2 linked regions of the Tamandua tetradactyla genome follow. The protein of the gene in region 2 purifies or fractionates together with the protein of the main gene of each other region. This does not show direct contact. Links are inferred from orthologs where the notes say so. Each region holds a gene or a part of one and is shown on either strand. Other genes may lie near its edges. The genes, in order: CDC42BPB and LURAP1.

The links.
Region 1: the proteins of LURAP1 (region 2) and CDC42BPB purify together in Homo sapiens (co-immunoprecipitation; 3 studies listed by BioGRID and IntAct, with this or other methods). This does not show direct contact. The link is inferred for Tamandua tetradactyla from reciprocal best matches to the Homo sapiens genes LURAP1 and CDC42BPB.

What each region holds. Positions count from the first base shown.
Region 1 is NC_135338.1:64,934,225-64,944,842, forward strand, and holds the start of CDC42BPB (serine/threonine-protein kinase MRCK beta), read right to left. Parts: upstream 4,739-10,618; 5' UTR 4,662-4,738; coding exon 4,487-4,661; intron 1-4,486. UniProt on the Homo sapiens protein: Serine/threonine-protein kinase which is an important downstream effector of CDC42 and plays a role in the regulation of cytoskeleton reorganization and cell migration. Regulates actin cytoskeletal reorganization via phosphorylation of PPP1R12C and MYL9/MLC2.
Region 2 is NC_135328.1:176,646,203-176,656,344, reverse strand, and holds the start of LURAP1 (leucine rich adaptor protein 1), read left to right. Parts: upstream 1-5,634; 5' UTR 5,635-6,063; coding exon 6,064-6,261; intron 6,262-10,142. Other genes in the region: POMGNT1 (protein O-linked-mannose beta-1,2-N-acetylglucosaminyltransferase 1), read right to left, coding at 1-49, 140-205, 829-947, 1,051-1,165, 1,770-1,889. UniProt on the Homo sapiens protein: Acts as an activator of the canonical NF-kappa-B pathway and drive the production of pro-inflammatory cytokines. Promotes the antigen (Ag)-presenting and priming function of dendritic cells via the canonical NF-kappa-B pathway.

The sequences.
Region 1 (10,618 bases), on a different chromosome or scaffold from region 2:
TAAATTCTCAAAGGACGGACATGTTTAGTTCATACTGCCAAAACACCTGTGCTTTTAGAGCTAAGAAAAGTGTATTTTCCTTTCATCTGTTTTCATTGAGAGCATCTGTGTGAGCACAAATTTAAGGATACCTTGGAATACTCCCACTCAATAGCCCTTTAAGAATCTAAAAATAAAACTTAAATGTGGACCAGGACTAATAAGTACTATGTAATGGAGGGGTTTAGGATGCTGAGATTATAGGGGTTTTGATTTTTTTTCCCCCAACATTTCTTTTAGTTTTATTTATCCCCCTTTCAATAAAAAGGATAGGAATTTGGATTTGATCTCTTCCAGCAAGACTCTTCTTTATTAGCCTCAGAAGATAATTTTTGCCTCTTCACTGGAGCATTCAGCAATTTCTCCACATTTAATCAGGCTTTGAATTTACAGTTCTGTGTGCTCACTTGTTTGTCCAGCATCACTTATGTCAGCAGAGAGCAGATTTTCGAGGGCATCTGGCTCTGCAGTAAGAGGCAGGGCTAAGGTAGGAAGCAAGAAGAGCTACTGGTCAACCCTACGGCATTCCAAGTTCTTTAACTTGCATGCATTGGAGTAGTTTGATTGAAGAACAATTCCCTGTGCATTAAGAACTTTTTTTGGCAGCTCCATAATAGTATCCTGGGATGAGAACAACTTCATCAACTCTAATTTCACTTATTTAAAGTATGGACTTACAAAGACACTGCAGCCCACTTTAAAACCCAACGTTGATGAGCAAAGTTTTAGGAGAGGAAAGTTAAGGTTGACTTGTTAACGTTTAATAGGTTCAACTCGCCCATCTCACGTCATGTAGCCAATATCAACACACACATCAAACAGCTGGCCATAAAATCAAAATTATGTTAACCTAATCACACGATGCAATTCCAATATTTCTGTACATTCAGAGTTTATTTCAAAAGACCTCTTTCTTCAATCTATTATTTAAAAGAAAATTGCTCCCTTGTTACATAAACATTCTATCTAGAGGAACCATCAAGAGTATAATGTCTTTTGCAATGTTCAGTACCATTAGTAAAACCTTACCCAATAAGTCTGGTAGGGGAACCTCCACAGTCATCCCACACACACCTAAGGCTGGGTATCAGCAGGCCAACAGCCACAGGTGCTTACAAATATGAAGAACTCGGAGAAAGTACTGCTATCTTCATAATAATAAAAACCACAAATGGGGAAATTAAGCAAAAGGCTATCTTCTCATTGTAGAGGAAGGACAGCATGAGGGAAGATGCTGTGGACAGGCGAACGGAGGTCCCATGTTCGACCCACCTCCAAGAGTGTCTGCTCATCGCTGAGCTTCCGCCCAGACTGCTGGCCACATAAGGGGGAGTTTGGGGAAGATGGCTACTGCAATGGGCCCAGGCCTGCAGGCTGGGCTTTCAAGCATCAGCTCCATCCAAACCCAACACAAGCCATTATATCTAAGCTGTGAAAACATATTCAACACATGCAATTTAAAACTATTTCTACATAAGCATGAGAGACAACAAATTCACCTCATTTAGCTGTTCATGGTTACTCCAAATTACTTGAAGAAATTTTAAAATGTTTCAAATATGCTCTGCTTCAAACTGTAACAAATTTACATTTCAAAAAAATAGCTTAAAGAGATACACTTGCAAAGCAGAGTTTTTCCAACTTTTAATTAAAGTCTAGAATTTCAAAGAGGAAACTAATCAAACCATAAACATAATCAAGGGAAAATTAAAGACCAAAACCTGAACAGGAGGCAAGTGAGTCTTGTCCCATACAACTTCTGTGGCAACAAGAAATAAAAGAGCCAGACTAAACAGTCTTCTTTTAAAATTTTAAGACTTTATTAACTATATTTTCCAAAATTCCTCAAAGATTTCCCAGTAAGACTCAAAATCTGGGCTGGCTGACTGCCTTTCTTCCTGAAGTTTCAAGACTTCGACACAATCCCTATTAGACTTGGGGCAAGATTTGGGAAGGGGAAAGAGGCCAGCCCTCTGCATGGCAGGAACCAACATTTCAGAGGTTTCAAACACCAGTGTGGGAATACACAAACTCAACAATCCATGGCTCAATAGGCTATAAACAGATATAGCATGTACAGCTATATCTTCAACCATTTTCATAAGCAAGTGTCAGAAAGTGATTCAGGAACTCCATTGTACTTTGTATTATTTAATTATTAGATGTGCTACCACTATAGGTGGACTCAAAACTATTGCCAGCTGCAAAAATAACAAACTCTATTTTCTTGAGCAGAAATAATCCCACTTAGAAGTCAGGGTATTTAACAATGCTCCACAAACAATTCTATTTTAAAGACAATTCCTTGTCTTCCAATAGCTGTAAGTGGGCGAGTCCAAGTAACACTCAATAATGACTGCACACAGAGCTTAACCAGTAACACACAACCTTAGAGTTACAACAGTGCATGTATGTTAATTATCGTGCGATTAGATACTTTTTCCAAAATATATTAATAGTTCATTTAAATGCCATCTTAAATTTAAGTTCATTCTTCTCTGTAGTTTAAAGCTTACATTTCTGTGCAAACTGATTCTTAGGAGAATAATGTCATTTATTTGTGACCACAATTTCCAAAGATCCAGAACACAATTTTGAAAAACATTTCTATATTACTTCATATATGACAAGCAATACATAGAATATTTCTATATTAGCACAGAAACAGATTAAATTCGGAAAAGCGGCCTCTCACAAAATATGGCTCCCACACCTGCTGACAAGAGTTTCCTCAGCAAAGCCCACCCAGTTCATAGGGGGTACAGTAACAACTGGTGGGAGAGGTGGCTGTTGGTGCAGAGGGTGCCCAGCCTCAGACCAACTCCCAGGCCTGGAGCCAGCCGACCACACCTTACCAGGGAAACCAACCTTCCCCCCAACTTCCTCCTTTTAGTCATGCTTTACTCATATACTGCACCCAGGTTGAACCTGAGTGTGGCTCTGTCTGGATTTCAACATAAAGTGGTCGGAAAGGAATGGCAAACAAGGCTAGGAAGACTCAGAGCATTAGACACACCGAAGCTCTCACTTTCAAAGCAATAGGGGAGGCAGTTAATTATTCAGTTGAAAATCATGGCACTGATGTCCATCAGAACCAGCAAATGGATGCTACTAATTTACTGGTATTCGTGCAACTAAGAACAGGGTCCCTGCTGGAATAAGGGGGCTCTGAGTTATTCTTCTACTGAGGCTCATACAAGAGATTACATCAACCCCCTAGAGAGGGGCAAAAGACAGGAGTCCTCTAGAGAACATGGCAACTTAAGTTTTAATTTGCAAACAAAATACCAAATTCCAGTTACCATTTTGGCAGAGGAGAGGTCTCACTAAGGAATACAGTAGTTTGTTTCTTCATGTGAATATCAGTTTATCAGTACCAAAAATTAGAAATGACTGGTTCAAACTGCACAGTCCTAGCTGGATGATGCAAATGACCTAAGGAGATTATCAGTTTGGCCTGGAACCTAAGTGTTGCCTCCTCCTTCTCAGGTGTTTTGGAGTCAGAGAATGTTCATGTGAGAGATGAAGCAAGAGTTTTTCCCTTTACACTTTGACCAGTCTTTGGGGTCCTAATTATAATTTAGTAGCTTCATTAAATGTTTTTCTAATAAAGTTTTTCTACATAAAGCATAATAGATCCTCAGCAGATTCTTAAATGAATTTGGAACCTGAGGAGACAAAGAACACCAAATGAAGAAAAATTTTAAGTGACTTTCACATACCGACAAACTCAGATATTCCCAAAACATTACACAGGTCTAACACAATTATGATGAAAAAGTTGGTCTATTTTTGCATGTCGGATTCAAAATTAAAATTTTAACCTTAAAATTCCTTTGAAGGTGCTACGTAAAAGGGGTGTTCAGGACTAGGGACACCCAGAAGACGCAGACAGCCTGTCACCTAGGAGCGGACTAACGTCAGGGCTGGGGCCCCAAAAGATGGGGATAGGGGAATCCACCGGGCCGTGGGCGAGACAAATGCAAAAAGCACACGCGGCTATGCCCACCACCCCAGCATGGGGGAGCGAGGCACAACGCTGGCTCTGGACCCCAAAGGCGAGATGGGGGAAGGCGGGGGGCGGATATCCCAGGGTGTGCTGCAGGAAATGATATCCAGACTCGGAGGGTGGATCTAGGAAGCGGACGGGGCGATGGCCCGGCGGGGGGAGGGGTGGGGGTGGGAACGGAGGATGTGGCTCCAAGGGGCAGGATGAGGGGGCGGGTCGGTTGGACGCGGATGTGAGAGGGTGAGGAGGATAGGGAGGGATGAAGAGCGAGCAGAAGGACAAGGGCGCAAAAAGACCAGCGGGGCCGTGGGTCTACGCGGACGGTGCAAGACGCGCAGGGGCCGGGAAGGAAGAGGGATGCGGGGCGCGAAGGGCAGGAGCCCGGTGCAGGGAGGAGGCACCCTAAGGGACGGAGGGTCGGGGCCGGAGCGCACTCACCCCACTCGAGGAACTCGGCCACATACTTGTCGCGACGCAGGGCCGAGTGGCTGCACTCGGTGTACAGGCAGACAAGCACGTCGAGCAGTGTCTCCACGCTCAGGGCGCTCTCGTTGCGCCAGGGCCCGTCGAGGAGTAGCTGCTCCAGCTTCTTGAGCCGCACCTTGGCCGACATGGTGTGGCGCGGCCCGCTCCCAGCGCGCTGGCCTCTCGCCGCCCGCTCGGCCAGTCCGTCAGGGAGAGCCCTCGGGGGTCCTGCGGCCGCGAGACCCGGCCGCACCGGCGCCTCGTCGCCGCCCCGTCCGCGTCGTCGCGCTCCGGCCTAGGCCGACATCTTGGGTTCGGTCCCGGCGGCGCAGCGTCTGGGGCGCCGGGCCCCGCGGGTCCATGGGCCGGTCTCCTCCCCTCCGCGCCGCCGTCCGCCCCACCCGCGCGGCCCGCCCCGCCCTCGCCCCCGCGCGGCCCGCAGCCCCGCCCGCCAGCCGCGCCCCTCCCCACAGGCCCGCCGCGCGCCGCAAATCGGGAGCGGCGCGGAGCCGACAGCTGCGCAAACCCGGTCGGCGCCCGAGCCCCGACCCCAGTCCGGACCCGGCGGCCCAGCCCGCGGCCCGCAGCCAACCAGGGTGCGGCCAGCGCGGGCGCAGCCAACCACAGCGCTGACCTCAGCGCCCCGCCCCGCCCCAGCGCGCCCTGCGCCCGGCGGGTCGGACCTCGCCGCTTGCCGTAGGGAGGCCGGGAAGCTGGGAAGGAAGCGCGGGGGCGGGGGTCGGTGCGGGGAGAGCGGCCGATAGGGGCGGAGCCAGCGGGCGGCCAGTGCGCCGCTGAGATTGCGGAGCCTACGCGTGCGCAGAGAGCGGCCACGAGGGGGCGCGCGGGAGCAGGGAGTGGTACCCGCGCGTGTGCTCGTCTGGGCCCTATTCCCCGCGACTATCCCTCCAGCTCCAGCCTTGCAAGTCCCATACGCGAATGGGATCTCCAAGCTCGGAGAGGCGCGGGCGCGGTCGGAGGCCGATGAACCCCTGGGAAAGGCCGGACGAGCGGCCTCTAGGAGCAGCGATTGAGTTCCAAATCAGGTCCCATCTTCCGACCTGAGGGACCGGAGACTGAAGGCGAGATGGGGCAGGGGTACGGGACAGGCGCGCCCGGGCGACTTCCCCGCGCCCTGTGAATCAGCAGTGGCCATTTCGGCTTCCACCCCTCACGGCCCCGTCCCCGCAAACCCATGCGGGGCCGACGATCTGCCTTGAGGCCGGACTTGCCCCGCTTTTACTGAGATGGTGCTTAATTTCAGTGCCCCTCACCCCCGCAGCGAGCCCTTGACAACAGGAGAGGAGGGCTGCCGGAATTTGAGGGGCTCCCTGAGGCCAGGGGATGAATTGGAGCCGCTGGGGCGGGGGGCGAGTTAACCCTCACTTGAGGAAAGGGGGATCTTTGGAAGGTAGGGGGGGCAGCAGGTGAGGGGGCAGATAGGGCTGTAGAGGCGGGAAGCCAAGGAAACCTGGGGACTCCTCTTGGCTGTGAAGAACAAGAAGTTGCGACCAAACTGTGTGCGGTAATGGGGGTCCAGATTGCAGCAGCCTCTGTGGGGAGGTGTTACTGGAAAGGCAGGAGCAAGCCTTCTAGGCCGCCCGGCATTTTCAGTATCTCGGTTTGGGTGGTGGTTACAGAGCGGTACTCAATAAGCGTTCTTCAGATTGTACTCTTGAGATTAGTGCACTTCGTGGTGTATGTGTTATACCTCACTAAAAAAATAAGGCAAGAACAGTCTTTGGTGATATAAGCCAGAGTATATTTCTTTCGAAGAGATAAGGACTGGAGGGGGTCATGAGGGAGCCTTCTGGGGAAACATTCTTTTTCTTTTTTTTTTTTTTTTATTAATTAAAAAAAATAAACTAACAACATTTAGAAATCATTCCATTCTACATATGCAATCAGTAATTCTTAATATCATCACATAGATGTATGATCATCATTTCTTAGTACATATGCATCGATTTAGAAAAAGAAATAGCAAGACAACAGGAAAAGAAATAAAATGATAATATAGAGAAAAAATAAAAATAAAAATAAAAAATACAAAAATATATAAGAAAAAAACTATAGTTCAGATGCAGCTTCATTCAGTGTTTTAACATAATTACATTGCAATTAGGTAGTATTGTGCTGTCCATTTTTTTTTTAGAAATCATACCATTCTACATATGCAATCAGTAATTCTTAACATCATCACATAGATGCATGATCATCGTTTCTTAGTACATTTGCATCGGTTTAGAAGAACTAGCAATATAACCAAAAAAGATATAGAATGTTAATATAGAGAAAAAAAATAAAAGTAATAATAGTAAGAACAAAACAAAACAAAACAAAAACCTATAGCTTGGATGCAGCTTCATTCAGTGTTTTAACATGATTACTTTACAATTAGGTATTATTGTGCTGTCCATTTTTGAGTTTTTGTATCTAGTCCTACTGCACAGTCTGTATCCCATCAGCTCCAATTACCCATTATCTTACCCTGTTTCTAACTCCTGCTGAACTCTGTTACCAATGACATATTCCAAGTTTATTCTCGAGTGTCGATTCACATCATTGGGACCATACAGTATTTGTCTTTTAGTTTTTGGCTAGACTCACTCAGCATAATGTTCTCTAGGTCCATCCATGTTATTACATGCTTCATAAATTTATTCTGTCTTAAAGCTGCATAATATTCCATCGTATGTATATACCACAGTTTGTTTAGCCACTCGTCTGTTGATGGACATTTTGGCTGTTTCCATCTCTTTGCAATTGTAAATAACGCTGCTATAAACATTGGTGTACAAATGTCCGTTTGAGTTTTTGCCCTTAATTCTTTTGAGTAGATTCCCAGCAATGGTATTGCTGGGTCGTATGGCAATTCTATATTCAGCTTTTTGAGGAACCGCCAAACTGCCTTCCACAGTGGTTGCACCCTTTGACATTCCCACCAACAGTGGATAAGTGTGCCTCTTTCACCGCATCCTCTCCAGCACTTGTCATTTTCTGTTTTGTTGATAATGGCCATTCTGGTGGGTGTGAGATGATATCTCATTGTGGTTTTGATTTGCATTTCTCTAATGGCCAGGGACATTGAGCATCTCTCATGTGCCTTTTGGCCATTTGTATTTCCTCCTCTGAGAGGTGTCTATTCAAGTCTTTTTCCCATTTTGTAATTGGGTTGGCTGTCTTTTTGTTGTTGAGTTGAACAATCTCTTTATAAATTCTGGATACTAGACCTTTATCTGATATGTCGTTTCCAAATATTGATTCCCATTGTGTAGGCTGTCTTTCTACTTTCTTGATGAAGTTCTTTGATGCACGAAAGTGTTTAATTTTGAGGAGCTCCCATTTATTTATTTCGTTCTTCAGTGCTCTTAAGAATTAAGGGCAAAAACTCAAACGGACATTTGTACACCAATGTTTATAGCAGCGTTATTTACAATTGCAAAGAGATGGAAACAGCCAAAATGTCCATCAACAGACGAGTGGCTAAACAAACTGTGGTATTTAAGGCTTTAGGTTTAAGGTCCATAAAACTGCCTCCAATTGTAAGATTCATAAGATATCTCCCTACATTTTCCTCTAACTGTTTTATGGTCTTAGACCTAATGTTTAGATCTTTGATCCATTTTGAGTTAACTTTTGTGTAGGGTGGGAGATACAGGTCTTCTTTCATTCTTTTGCATATGGATATCCAGTTCTCTAGGCACCATTTATTGAAGAGACTGTTCTGTCCCAGGTGAGTTGGCTTGACTGCCTTATCAAAGATCAAATGTCCATAGATGAGAGCGTCTATATCTGAGCACTCTATTCGATTCCATTGGTCGATATATCTATCTTTATGCCAATACCATGCTGTTTTGACCACTGTGGCTTCATAATATGCCTTAAAGTCAGGCAGCGCGAGACCTCCAGCTTCGTTTTTGTTCCTCAAGATGTTTTTAGCAATTCGGGGCACCCTGCCCTTCCAGATAAATTTGCTTATTGGTTTTTCTATTTCTGAAAAATAAGTTGTTGGGATTTTGATTGGTATGGCATTGAATCTGTAAATCAATTTAGGTAGGATTGACATCTTAACTATATTTAGTCTTCCAATCCATGAACACGGTATGCCCTTCCATCTATTTAGGTCTTCTGTGATTTCTTTTAGTAGTTTTTTGTAGTTTTCTTTATATAGGTTTTTTGTCTCTTTAGTTAAATTTATTCCTAGGTCTTTTATTCTTTTAGTTGCAATTGTAAATGGGATTCGTTTCTTGACTTCCCCCTCCGCTTGTTCATTGCTAGTGTATAGAAATGCTACAGATTTTTGAATGTTGATCTTGTAACCCGCTACTTTGCTGTACTCATTTATTAGCTCTAGTAGTTTTGTTGTGGATTTTTGCGGGTTTTCGACGTATAGTATCATATCGTCTGCAAACAGTGATAGTTTTACTTCTTCCTTTCCAATTTTGATGCCTTGTATTTCTTTTTCTTGTCTAATTGCTCTGGCTAGAACCTCCAACACAATGTTGAATAATAGTGGTGATAGTGGGCATCCTTGTCTTGTTCCTGATCTTAGGGGGAAAGTTTTCAGTTTTTCCCCGTTGAGGATGATATTAGCTGTGGGTTTTTCATATATTCCCTCTATCATTTTAAGGAAGTTCCCTTGTATTCCTAACTTTTGAAGTGTTTTCAACAGGAAAGGATGTTGAATCTTGTCAAATGCCTTCTCTGCATCAATTGAGATGATCATGTGATTTTTCTGCTTTGATTTGTTGATATGGTGTATTACATTAATTGATTTTCTTATGTTGAACCATCCTTGCATACCTGGGATGAATCCTACTTGGTCATGATGTATAATTCTTTTAATGTGTTGTTGGATACGATTTGCTAGAATTTTATTGAGGATTTTTGCATCTATATTCATTAGAAGGATTGGCCTGTAGTTTTCTTTTTTTGTAATATCTTTGCCTGGTTTTGGTATGAGGGTGATGTGGGCTTCATAGAATGAATTAGGCAGTTTCCCCTCCGCTTCGGTTTTTTTGAAGAGTTTGAGGAGAGCTGGTACTAATTCTTTCTGGAATGTTTGATAGAATTCACATGTGAAGCCTTCTGGTCCTGGACTTTTCTTTTTAGGAAGCTTTTGAATGACTGATTCAATTTCTTTACTTGTGATTGGTTTGTTGAGGTCATCTATGTCTTCTTGAGTCAAAGTTGGTTGTTCATGTCTTTCCAGGAACCCGTCCATTTCATCTAAATTGTTGTATTTATTAGCGTAAAGTTGTTCATAGTATCCTGTTATTACCTCCTTTATTTCTGTGAGGTCAGTAGTTATGTCTCCTCTTCCATTTCTGATCTTATTTGTTTGCATCCTCTCTCTTCTTCTTTTTGTCAATCTTGCTAAGGGCCCATCAATCTTATTGATTTTCTCATAGAACCAACTTCTGGCCTTAATGATTTTCTCTATTGTTTTCATGTTTTCAATTTCATTTATTTCTGCTCTAATCTTTGTTATTTCTTTCCTTTTGCTTGCTTTGGGATTAGTTTGCTGTTCTTTCTCCAGTTCTTCCAAATGGATAGTTAATTCCTGAATTTTTGCCTTTTCTTCTTTTCTGATATAGGCATTTAGGGCAATAAATTCCCCTCTTAGCACTGCCTTTGCTGCGTCCCATAAGTTTTTTTTTTTTTTTTTTTTTTTAGTATTGTGCTGTCCATTTCTGAGTTTTTATATCCAGTCCCGTTGTACAGTCTGTATCCCTTCAGCTCCAATTACCCCTTCTCTTTTTTTTTTTTTTTTAATTAACGGAAAAAAAGAAATTAACCCAACATTTAGAGATCATACCATTCTACACATGCAATCATTAATTCTTAACATCATCACATAGATGCATGATCATCATTTCTTAGTACATTTGCATTGGTTTAGAAGAACTAGCAACATAACCGAAAAAGATATAGAATGTTAATATAGAGAAAAAAATAAAAGTAATAATAGTAAAATCAAAACAAAACAAAACAAAACAAAACAAAAACCTATAGCTCAGATGCAGCTTCATTCAGTGTTTTAACATGATTACTTTACAATTAGGTATTATTGTGCTGTCCATTTTTGAGTTTTTGTATCTA
Region 2 (10,142 bases):
CTTCATGAGGTGAGTATGTGTCAAAAACACGCTTTGCCATAACATGACCCTGGCAGAGGATACAGTTCTTATGAGCTGGTGTCCCCAGGAAGGAGGGCTCAGCTTCAGACTTCTGGGTCCCCCACCCCTAGAAACTCACCGTGGCCTGGTTGAGGACGATGACATGGATGCCACGACCCTGCTCCCTGGCCTCGTCCTCCAGTACCTACAGGGTGGCAGAGAAAAAGACCAACTCTTCATTCTGGCATTCATGGTCTCTGTCTTACGGGCACTTCAAACTCCAGCTGCACAAAACCTTTCCTCCTGCCTATTCTCCCGCTCACACTTCTCTTCAAATCCAGCTTGAAAGCCATCTCTTTCAGGAAGCTATCACAGTATCCTCATCAGAAGAGACTGCATCTTTCTACAACCCTCTCCCTTCTTGATCTTTATGGATCTTAGAGCCCTTGACTGTTTCCGCCTCATCCTGGAGATAACACATTCCTCCATCAGACTGAGCCCTCAAGGAAGGCCAGATCCAATTACCCAGCACCACAAAGATACCAGGAAGTGGTTATTAAAAAATAAATCGATGAATTAAATGCTCTCTAATACTAATGATCACTTTTGAGATTCAACTACATATAAGACATTTCACATTCTTCTCATTTAATTCTGGCAAGTAAAAATCATTATTCTCAATCTATAGTTGAGGAACTGAGGCCTCCAAAGTTGCATAGCTAGAAACTGGCAGAAATGTAGTTTCCACTCAGGTAGTGAACACCACAGCCACAGGGCCATGGCCTAAAGAGAATGGAAAGACTGGTCAACAGATCCCACTCTACTCACCGTGGTGCCATCCACTGCCACATACACTTTGCTCCGGCTGGAATATACCTCCACATCCAGGACCCGCCGGGGGCCACTGCCTCTGCGCCTTGGAGGCTCCAGGCGGCCCAGGGCTTCATCTAAAGGAACAAAAGGTGATAGAAATAGTCTCCCCTGGATCTACCTGCAACTCATCCATGAGACCTCAAGGGACCCCCTACCCCATCTTCAGCCTGGTCCCACCATAGTCTTGCTCTGGCTCCAGGTCTTCATTGGCCTCGCTAATTGCTCGCCGTGTGTCCAGAATCAACTTGATGTTGACGATGACAGTCACCAGGAGGAAGAGCACCGCCCCTGTCTGAGGGAAGGGGTAGAGACGACTAAAGAGGGGTACTTCCTCTAGACCATAGAGGGTCTTCCTGAAAGGAGGGCCCTGACTGCAGTAGGAGGATACAGGGAGAATCTGGAGTCTGCCTCCCCTCCCTTGTCTGTTCAGCTTTACTCCCCTAACTGGGACCCAGTTTCATGACTAGCTCCTTTAGGGAACCTCCCCTGACCCTTCTCCCTCCATCATGGCTCTTCCTACCTCTTGCATTCTTCCATCTGGGGCCTCTGATTTCCTTGAACCCCTTCACAGTTAGTTTCTAGAGGTGAAGCCAATCCCAGAAAACCAAGCTGGGGATCAGAAGACCTGGGTCCCAGCCTTGACTGCCTGACAGGTGATCCCGGACAAAGCCCTTCTGATCAAAATTCAAGTTTCTGTCAGAAGCCTAGGAGACTGGACTTGTTGGGTTCTGATTCCAAAGCTGAACTCTGGGACCAGTCTACTACCTGGTGGGAACTTGACACGTAGAGGTTCCCTTTCCAGGCTGAGGGATGCCAAGGTGGGTCTCAGTGCCCATATTCTAGGCTGGGGTAAAGCTGGGAAGGAGCCCCTGGGAGGTCTTGGGACATCCCTATACCTGACAGAACCTCCGCAGGGCCCGCTGGTTGGTCAGTTTATACTTCCAGGTAAGATACCAGCTCCGCTTCTTCCGAGCCCCAAAGGGCTTGATGAGGGGGCTGGGCTTCCAGTCGTCCATGCCTGATCGGGGGTGTCACCACTGTCCTGGCCAACCCATGCCTTCAGGAATCTGAGGGGACCAGAGTGTTATATGAGGTAAGGCACTCCTCCCAAAGCCTGATGACTTCTGGGGAGATGGGGAATGGCCTTCCAACAACTCTTGCCTGCAAACACCTGTGTTGTGTGACCTGGGAAAATGGTTTAACTTCTCTGGGTCTGATAGGAAAACCTTAAGGGAGGTTCAATCTGAAAAATTCCCCAAGGTTGGGGGAACTATCTGAGTCAGGACTGCCCAGGGACCCAGGAGCCGAGGCCAGATGATCAGATCAAGGCCCTGAAAGCTCTTAAGTAGCTGGAAAGGTGCAAACCCCAGGCCTTCCCAGTCCTGGGGTGGGCAAAGGGCAGCGAGCCCCCAGTCTTCCACCCCCTCCTATCTGGTCCCAGTCTTCTCCGCCCAGGGTTCGGAGCCGCCCGAACGTTTAGGAGATCTAACCCGGCCGCGCCGCCCCACCCCGGATCCCCCGCCCGGAAACACTCACGGCTCAGGGCGCCCGGGCCCCTCCAGGGCCCGACTCCGGCCCGCACAGCTCAGCCCGGCGCGCCGCGGCCTCCGCCTCCTCCATGCCGCGCACGGCCCCGCCCCGGCCCGCCCCCTTGCTTCCGCCGCCGCCGCTGAGGGGTGAGAGGGCGGCGGGCGGTGCTTAGGGCGGCGGCCGGGTGTCTGGTTCTCGCGTGGCGGGTTTAGACGCTCCGCAGCTTTGCAGCACGGCGCGTGGGTGGGCTGCTCAAGCAGTGCGGCTCGCCCCCCCCTGCCCTCCTCGGTGGGAAACCCGGTTCAAGTCACAGTTCTAGCGCTTTGCACCTGACCACACGATACCCCAGGGTTTCAGGGGTTGCCGGCCGGGAATCCAGCCCTTCACCGGCCTGTGCTGTCCTGGGGAAGGCTGCACTCTGGTTTGGCGTTACGAAGGAAAGAGACTTAGATTAAAAACCTGGTTCCATCGTTTACTTTGACCTTGGTAGGCAAGTCAGGTCACCTCTGAGTCTCGGTTCCCTTCTCTTTAATATGGGGATACATTTATACGATGGTCACTCTATCCCAGTCACTGTTCTCAGCATTTTACTCATATTAATTTATTTAATCCCACAACGGCCCCCGGAGGTGCTGTCATTATCACAACCTTGTAAAGAAATCTTTATTTAAAAGATGCCCAGTGTCACAGAGCTGGGAGAGTTGGGCTTCAAACCCAGACGGTTTGGCTCCAGATTCCCTTCTTAATCAGTGCACTACATCGGCTTTAATAGTACTTAAGGAGTTGTAAAGGTTAAAGGAAATAATACATATAAAGTACATATCCTAACACAGTGGTACTCAAATTTTAGCTTACATCAGAATCACTTGGAGGGCTTGTTAAAACAGATTGCTGGGCTCCATTCCTAGAGTTTTTGATTCAGGAGTCTGGGGGCAGGGTGGGATTTTGCATTTCTATCAAGTTTCTAGGTGATGGTGATGCTTATTCAAAGTGAGTGGGTAGCCATGGAACAATTTTAAGCAGACGAGTGATATAATACAATTTATGTTCTAAGAGAACCTTTACTATTTTGTGGAGAATGGTTTGAAACGATATATGAGGGGAAGCTGGAAAAGTAGTGTTTTTTTTAGCTCTCCATATTCCATCTGTTTCCCAAATGGTGGGATGGTATCCCATAAATGTTAATAGTACTTGTCTTAGGAGTGAGGCAATGGGTGATCTTTTCCTAATAAATATGTATAAAATACAATAGGAGAAAACCCAACACATTTTATTAGCATTTTAAAAAGTTATTGCTTGGTTCCTCCCTGATCCTCTTCTCTCCTCAAACTCACTCTCCATGGAAGACATCACCCATTTCCATGACCTCTGTTACCATCTAAATTGCCAAACTCATAGCTATCATCCTAACCTCTCTCGTGAGCTCCATGCTCACCTCCAGGTTCACCTGCCTGCTGGACGTCTCTGTCGATTCCTTCAACTCCACAGGACTCCTGCTGGAATCATCTCCCACTCCCAGGCTTCTTCTTGAGTTCCCTTCTTTGGTGAATCACATCAGCTGGGAGTCACCCTTGCTTTCTTTTCTTTCTGGGTCTCTTTGGTCACACTGTATTCTCCGCCCCCCACACAATGGCTAGCACATAGTAGGCGCTCCATAATATTTTTTAAAATCATTCACCCATTTCTTTGAACAAAAATTTATTGACTATATCGTAAGTAAATGAATGTAACCAGCACCAAGTGGTGTCAATCATATCTCTAACAAGCCCTCCATTCTGGTTTAATTCTTCAACCAACCCAGGTCTCAGTTTCTTGCCTTTCCACTGGCCTCCTTGACTCCAGATTTTTACTACTCCCATGTTTTTTCTTTGTGAAATTTAGAATAATTTTTCAAAAAGGTAGATCTGTTTTTGCAATCTCTGACTTAAAACCCTTACATGGTCAAAAGATACTGTCCTCTGAATTATATATTACGTGAAATTACAAAGGTAACCATTAGATGAAGTATACAGGACCAGTGACAGAAGGGAAGTACTGATTGTGAGTTAAATCCATACTTTCCATAATAGGAAACCAATAGACAAACATTTAAAATCAAGAACCAGTAGTATACTTATGCAAGGTGTTAATAACAGGGTGGTATATGGGGATCTTTATTTTATGCATGATTTTCCTGTAAACCCATAACTTCTCTAATTAAAAAAAAAAGAAAGAAAGAGGGGTTGTGCTGGTTTAAATCTGTTATGTACCCCAGAAAAGCCTATGTTATTTTAATCCGTTCTTGTAGGGGCAGACTTATTGTTGGGTGGGACCTTTGATTAGATTGTTTCCATGGAAATGTGACCCCACCCATTTAAGGTGGGTCTTAATCAGCTTGCTGGAGTTCTTTAAAGGAGAGAAGTTCTGGAGAGAGCCAATAGAAGCTAAGAGAGAAAATAAACACCCACAGAGATATTTTAGAGGGAAGGACCAGAAGACATTGCCATGTGCCTTCCCACCTGACATAGGAACCCCGGATGCCAGCAGCCCTTCCTTCAAGAAGGTAAACTCTTGGTGCCTTAATTTGGACATTTTCATGGCATTAGAATTGTAACTTGTAACTTAATAAATCTCCACTGAAAAAGCCCACCCATTCTGGTATATTGCATTCCAGCAGCTTTAGTAAACGGAAACAGTGGTATAAACCTATTTAAATACTAGAAGGAAAAAAAAAGCTAAAAGTGGTTGCTTCTGGGAAGTGGGACTAGAGGCGGGAAAAGGTAAGGCAGGGATAACTATCTTTTCATTGTAAACCCTTCTGTAACGGTGAACTGAATTACTTGGATTAAAAAACCAAAATCTAAACTAAGCTGAAACAAAACAAAACATTTTTATGGTTCTCCATTGCTCACAGAATAAAATCCAAACACCTTAAAACAGCCTTGTACAACCTTGCTACTCAGAGTGTGGTTCTAGGACCAATAACATAGTCATCACCAGGAGCGTGTTAGGAATGAAGAATCTCAGGGCCCACCTCGGACTTACTGAATCAGAATCTGCATTTTAACAAGCTCCGCAGATGAGTCAAAGGAACGGTCAAGTTTAGGGAACACCAGTCTACAAGATCTGGTGTGATCTGGCCCATGCAGAGCACTAAAGCTTCAACACTGGTTGCCTGCCGCTGGGCAGAAGGACTTTAGTTTCTGCTCCTCCTGTCTAAGGAGGAGCTGAAATTGGTGTGTGTATATGTGTGTGCCCGCGCGTGTCAGTGATTAGCTAAATTCTAGCCGCTATTTTCTACCAACTCTTCTACCCCAGGAAGCCTTTCAAAACTCTCTGCAGTCCTCTGCTACCACTGTTCATCAAGCTCCAAACATTTACTGGGCGCCTGATGTGTGCCTGTTTAGATTCAGTGGCAGAGTGGGGAGAAGGCGCTGAGCTCTCCTAGCGCATTCCTGAGCTAGAGGGTGTGTGCGCAGCCCTGGAATAGACTGTGCGCGGCTCTCAGAAAAGGCTCTGCGCGGCTTTTCTGAGCGGTACGGCGCCCTCCTCCGCCTGTGCGCCGCGCGGGCGGGGACCCACCCGTTCTGCTCCGCTCTGCAGTGGCGGCGGGGAAAGGAAGACCCCCGGGAGCGGGACCCCGGCGTCCGGTCGCCCAGCCCCGCACAGGCTTGGGCCCGTATGGAGGGGACCGCAGAGTCCCAGACGCCTGACCTACGAGACGTGGAGAGCAAGGTGGGCAGGAAGACCCCTGAAGGGCTTCTCCGCGGGCTGCGAGGCGAGTGGGAGCCGGGGACCGCTGGCGCCCTGCTGCTCCCAGGAGCGCCTAGCTTGGGCCACGGCTTGGGGGACAAGATCATGAAGCTGAGGATGGAGCTGGTGAGTGTTACCTCCACGGGCCAGGGCGTCGGAGTCCCCGGTTTAGGGCTGGAAAGAACGGACTGACGCCCCCGGAGTGGGCTGGAGAGGAAGGAGTTAAAACTCCGCACCTTACTCCTCTGGATGCTTCCCAGGTTAATCTGTAAAACCCGCGGGGCGGAGGTAGGGTGACTTCCATTAATTGTCCCCCAAGGGTGGGTGGGATGTTGGTGGGTTCCCAGGACTTGAGGTGGGAGGCACAACCTAGGAAGTTTTTCCGCCAAATAATTGGGAGTGGGGAGGTCAGGGCAGGGAGACAACTGAGAACCTGGCACTGCACACCTCTGTCCCCCCCTAGTTGCATTACAGGGCAACTAGGTTCTTCTTCCCTGCAAACTAGGAGCTTTTTCAGGACCAGGACCGAATTTGGTTCAGTTGAGGCCCAAGTGTTTACGACAGGATTCAGTACAAAAGAAAATTTGGGTGAGACACACATCTACTGAAAACTGCCAGGACCAGGGGGCACTAAAATCATTCTGCCATCCAGGCATAAAATATCTGAAAGTTCCCAGAACCATAGCAGACAAAGATTAGGCACACCCATCAGTGTCAGTTCCTCACCTGACTAGTCTTCTTCCCGGGGGTGCACTGGATATTTGGATTCCATCTGTTCCTCCTTGGGGAGAAAAGGAGGAAACAGGCACCCCCCCCCTTCCATGGTGCTGCAGTCTAGATGTTCTGAGCCAAAAGGACACCTAGGGCTTTGATTCCGGTGAAGAGACTGAGGTGAAGGGAATGATTTACACCTGCCACTACTTCATAGCCAGTTCTAATAACCTGAGGAATTGCCGGCTGCTCCCTGGCCCAGAACCAGAAACTCACAGTGAGTTTGTCAGCTAATAAGTCTTCCTGGAGCCCCACTGTGCGCCCTCCTCTGTGCCAGGCCTGGCTGTGAGGGAGGTAGGGAGGAGAGCCCAGGGCTCCAGGGCTTCCTGAGAGGCTGGGAGGAGAACCTTGTGGGCGGAGCAGTCAGGGAAGGCTCCACTTGAATGCCAAATGTGCACTTGGCCTTGAAGGTTGGGGGTGAGTGCCAAATGCTCTAGAGCAGGACTGTGACTGCTCACCTAAGTGGGGGCTGGTGTTGCCTTATCATACAAACTGGAGCTTGAGGCCTAGAAAGAGCCTACTTAGAATACCCTGCTTTGAAAATACACTCTATAATATATTCTCTTAATCCTCACAAAAGCCTTATGAGGAAAATAATTTATAGATGAAGAAATTGAGGCACAGAGAGGTTAAGGAACTGTCCGAGGTCATACAAAAAGTAAAAAAGCAGAGCTAGGATTTGAATCCAGATAATCTGACTACAATTTACATCTTTATCGTTAAGACCTGCTTTGGGTCAGACACTTTAAAACACATTATGTCATTGAAGTGAGAAAAATAGTCATTATTTTCCCCATCTCACAGATGTAGAAATATGCTTGGAGGTGTTAAGAGAGCTCCCACAGGAAGTCAGTGGAGAAGCTGTACCTAGTCTCTCTGGCTCTCTTTTCTGCCTTTGAAGGTGAACTTTTTTAGGGATACATTTAACTTCTGATTTTTTTTCTTGCTGTATTCTTGACTCAGCCTGACCTGGGGCCTGAGGCTGCCTGTGAAGGGCACAAGGGAGGGAGCCTTCTAGGGGTCAGAACAAGGAGAGATCCTCTACATGTACTCACAGATCCCTACCCCATTACTTTCTCCCTCCTCAGGCCAGGATGTCATTGATCTCTTCTGGCACTCTGCCTTGCCCACTGTCTTGGGCCCAGGAAGGACAGTGGTGGAACAGGGGGTTCTCCATGGAGCCACTAGTAGCAGGACTGAGCCAAGCCCTCTAAGGACTGTCCTTCAGTTGTCCTTCTCCCAGCTCTCCTTGCTGGGAGGAGTCAGGCTTGCCCTTGAGGTTAAGGTCAGCCCTGCCTTTAGGTTTCTTCCCTCTGGTTTCTCTCCCCCACTCAGGGGTTGAGTGATATTTGTGGCTGGTGGTAGGGGAGGTGGGGGGGGGATGGCAATTCTCCACCCCGTAGTCCTCCCACCCAAATAACTGTTGCTATGACAACCCACCACCACAGAGCAGTTTGAGGCAAAGCTTTAGGAAAGGAAGGGGAAGGCAGGGGTTCAAGTCCTGGCTCCGCTCTTGAATCACTTTATGATCTTGAGCAGGACCCTGTCCCTTTCTCAGCCTCAATTTTTCTGGGGACCTGGGGGTGGGGGTGGAAAGGGGTGTGGAACCATATGATCTCTAAGGGTCCTTTTAATGACAAGAGCCTGAGAATCTCAATCCAATATCAAGGAGCTGGAAGTGGGGAGTGGAGCTCCAGGCTTTACCCCAAGGCCTGATTTGGATGAAGCAATGAGAGAGGCATACTCCAGAGCTGGGCAGAGAGCCTGAGGTGTATATGTTGAGAGGAAGGATAGAAAGCCTGAATCTCCCTGGGAAGAGAATTGGGTTGGAGTAGCCTTTGAGGTTTCATCTCTCATGAGCTGTTTATCTTCTCTGTTTCCAAAGAGATGGTATGAAATAAGTTTCTTTTTCTGGCAAGAAACCTTTGCCTTCTATTCTGGGGCTGATGCTGTCACAGTCAAGGAATTCCAGTGTCATAGGATCTTTGAATCTGCTTCTCAGATTCATTTCCCATCAATACAGCAAAATTCAGCCCACTGAACCCTAGGGACCACTAGAAGGGCAAAGGATAGTAAAGGCAAGAGAATCATAGAACTGAATCTGATCTATCCAAGCCTAGACTACCAGAATTGATTTAGGCAGGACCTGCTCTTAGGAGACTTACAGTCTGGATTGGGGAAGGAGGGAGACAGTAGCAACCCTAGGACAGAAAGATAGGTGCTGTTGGAACACCCAGAGAAGTGGCATGGTTGGGTTTGTGCTCTGGAAAGTTCACTTTGAATTGGAGGTGGGTACATTCTTTTTTCCACTGGGTGGGATGCCTCTCCACCTCTTTACCTAGCTAAGTCCTACTTAACCTTCAAGTCTCAGCTCATGCCCTTTATCCTAGGAAGCCATTTCTGACCTCCCCTAGGTTATGGGTCTCTAGGTATCCATAGCTGTCTGTGTAGCAATTATTTCCACTAGCTTTTATAACACTGAATTTTAAGAGCTTGCTTCAATGTCTTATCTTACCCATCAAACTGTGAACCCTCTGAGGGCAAGAAAGGGTGTGTTTCTTCATTTGTCTAAAACAATACCAGACCTATAAGGAACACTCAATAAATATTTGTTCCATGACTGAATGGATTCATTCCATGTTGGGAAAGGGTAGAAAAGACTTCTTAGAGGAGTAGCATTTGAGCAGGGCCCTGAAGAATGGATAAAGTCAGTGGGAATTCCAGTTCAAGGTGGCAGATTAAATACATGTATTTTGTTACTTTCCCTTCTGAAACTCCACTCAAAAGCTAGTAAATGGATTATTTTAAAAGGCATGAAGCCTTTTATAAGATTATAGGAGACGATGATAGGGACAAGATGTTATAAGCTGAAAAGCAGAAGGAACAGTGGTAACTAACTTAGTAGACTCCCCCCCAAAAAGCTGAATCCCAAGCCAGCAATGGCAAAAGCTGAAAAGCAACCTCAGAGGTCTCAGGAATTGAAAGCACCAGATATTTCTGGAACTGGGAGTGTGAGTGTGGATGAAAACATTCTGTTTAAGACTCATAGTCTAAGCCAATCATAAAATGGTAAGGGGCTCCAAATAACCAAAACCATCTTTAAAAAGAAGAACAGTAAGAGGATTCATACCTCCCAATTTCAAAATTTACCACAAGCCTGAAGTACTCAAAATAATGTGGCATAGGTATAAGGACAGATATTTAGACCAATGGAATAGAATTGGGAGTCTAGAAAT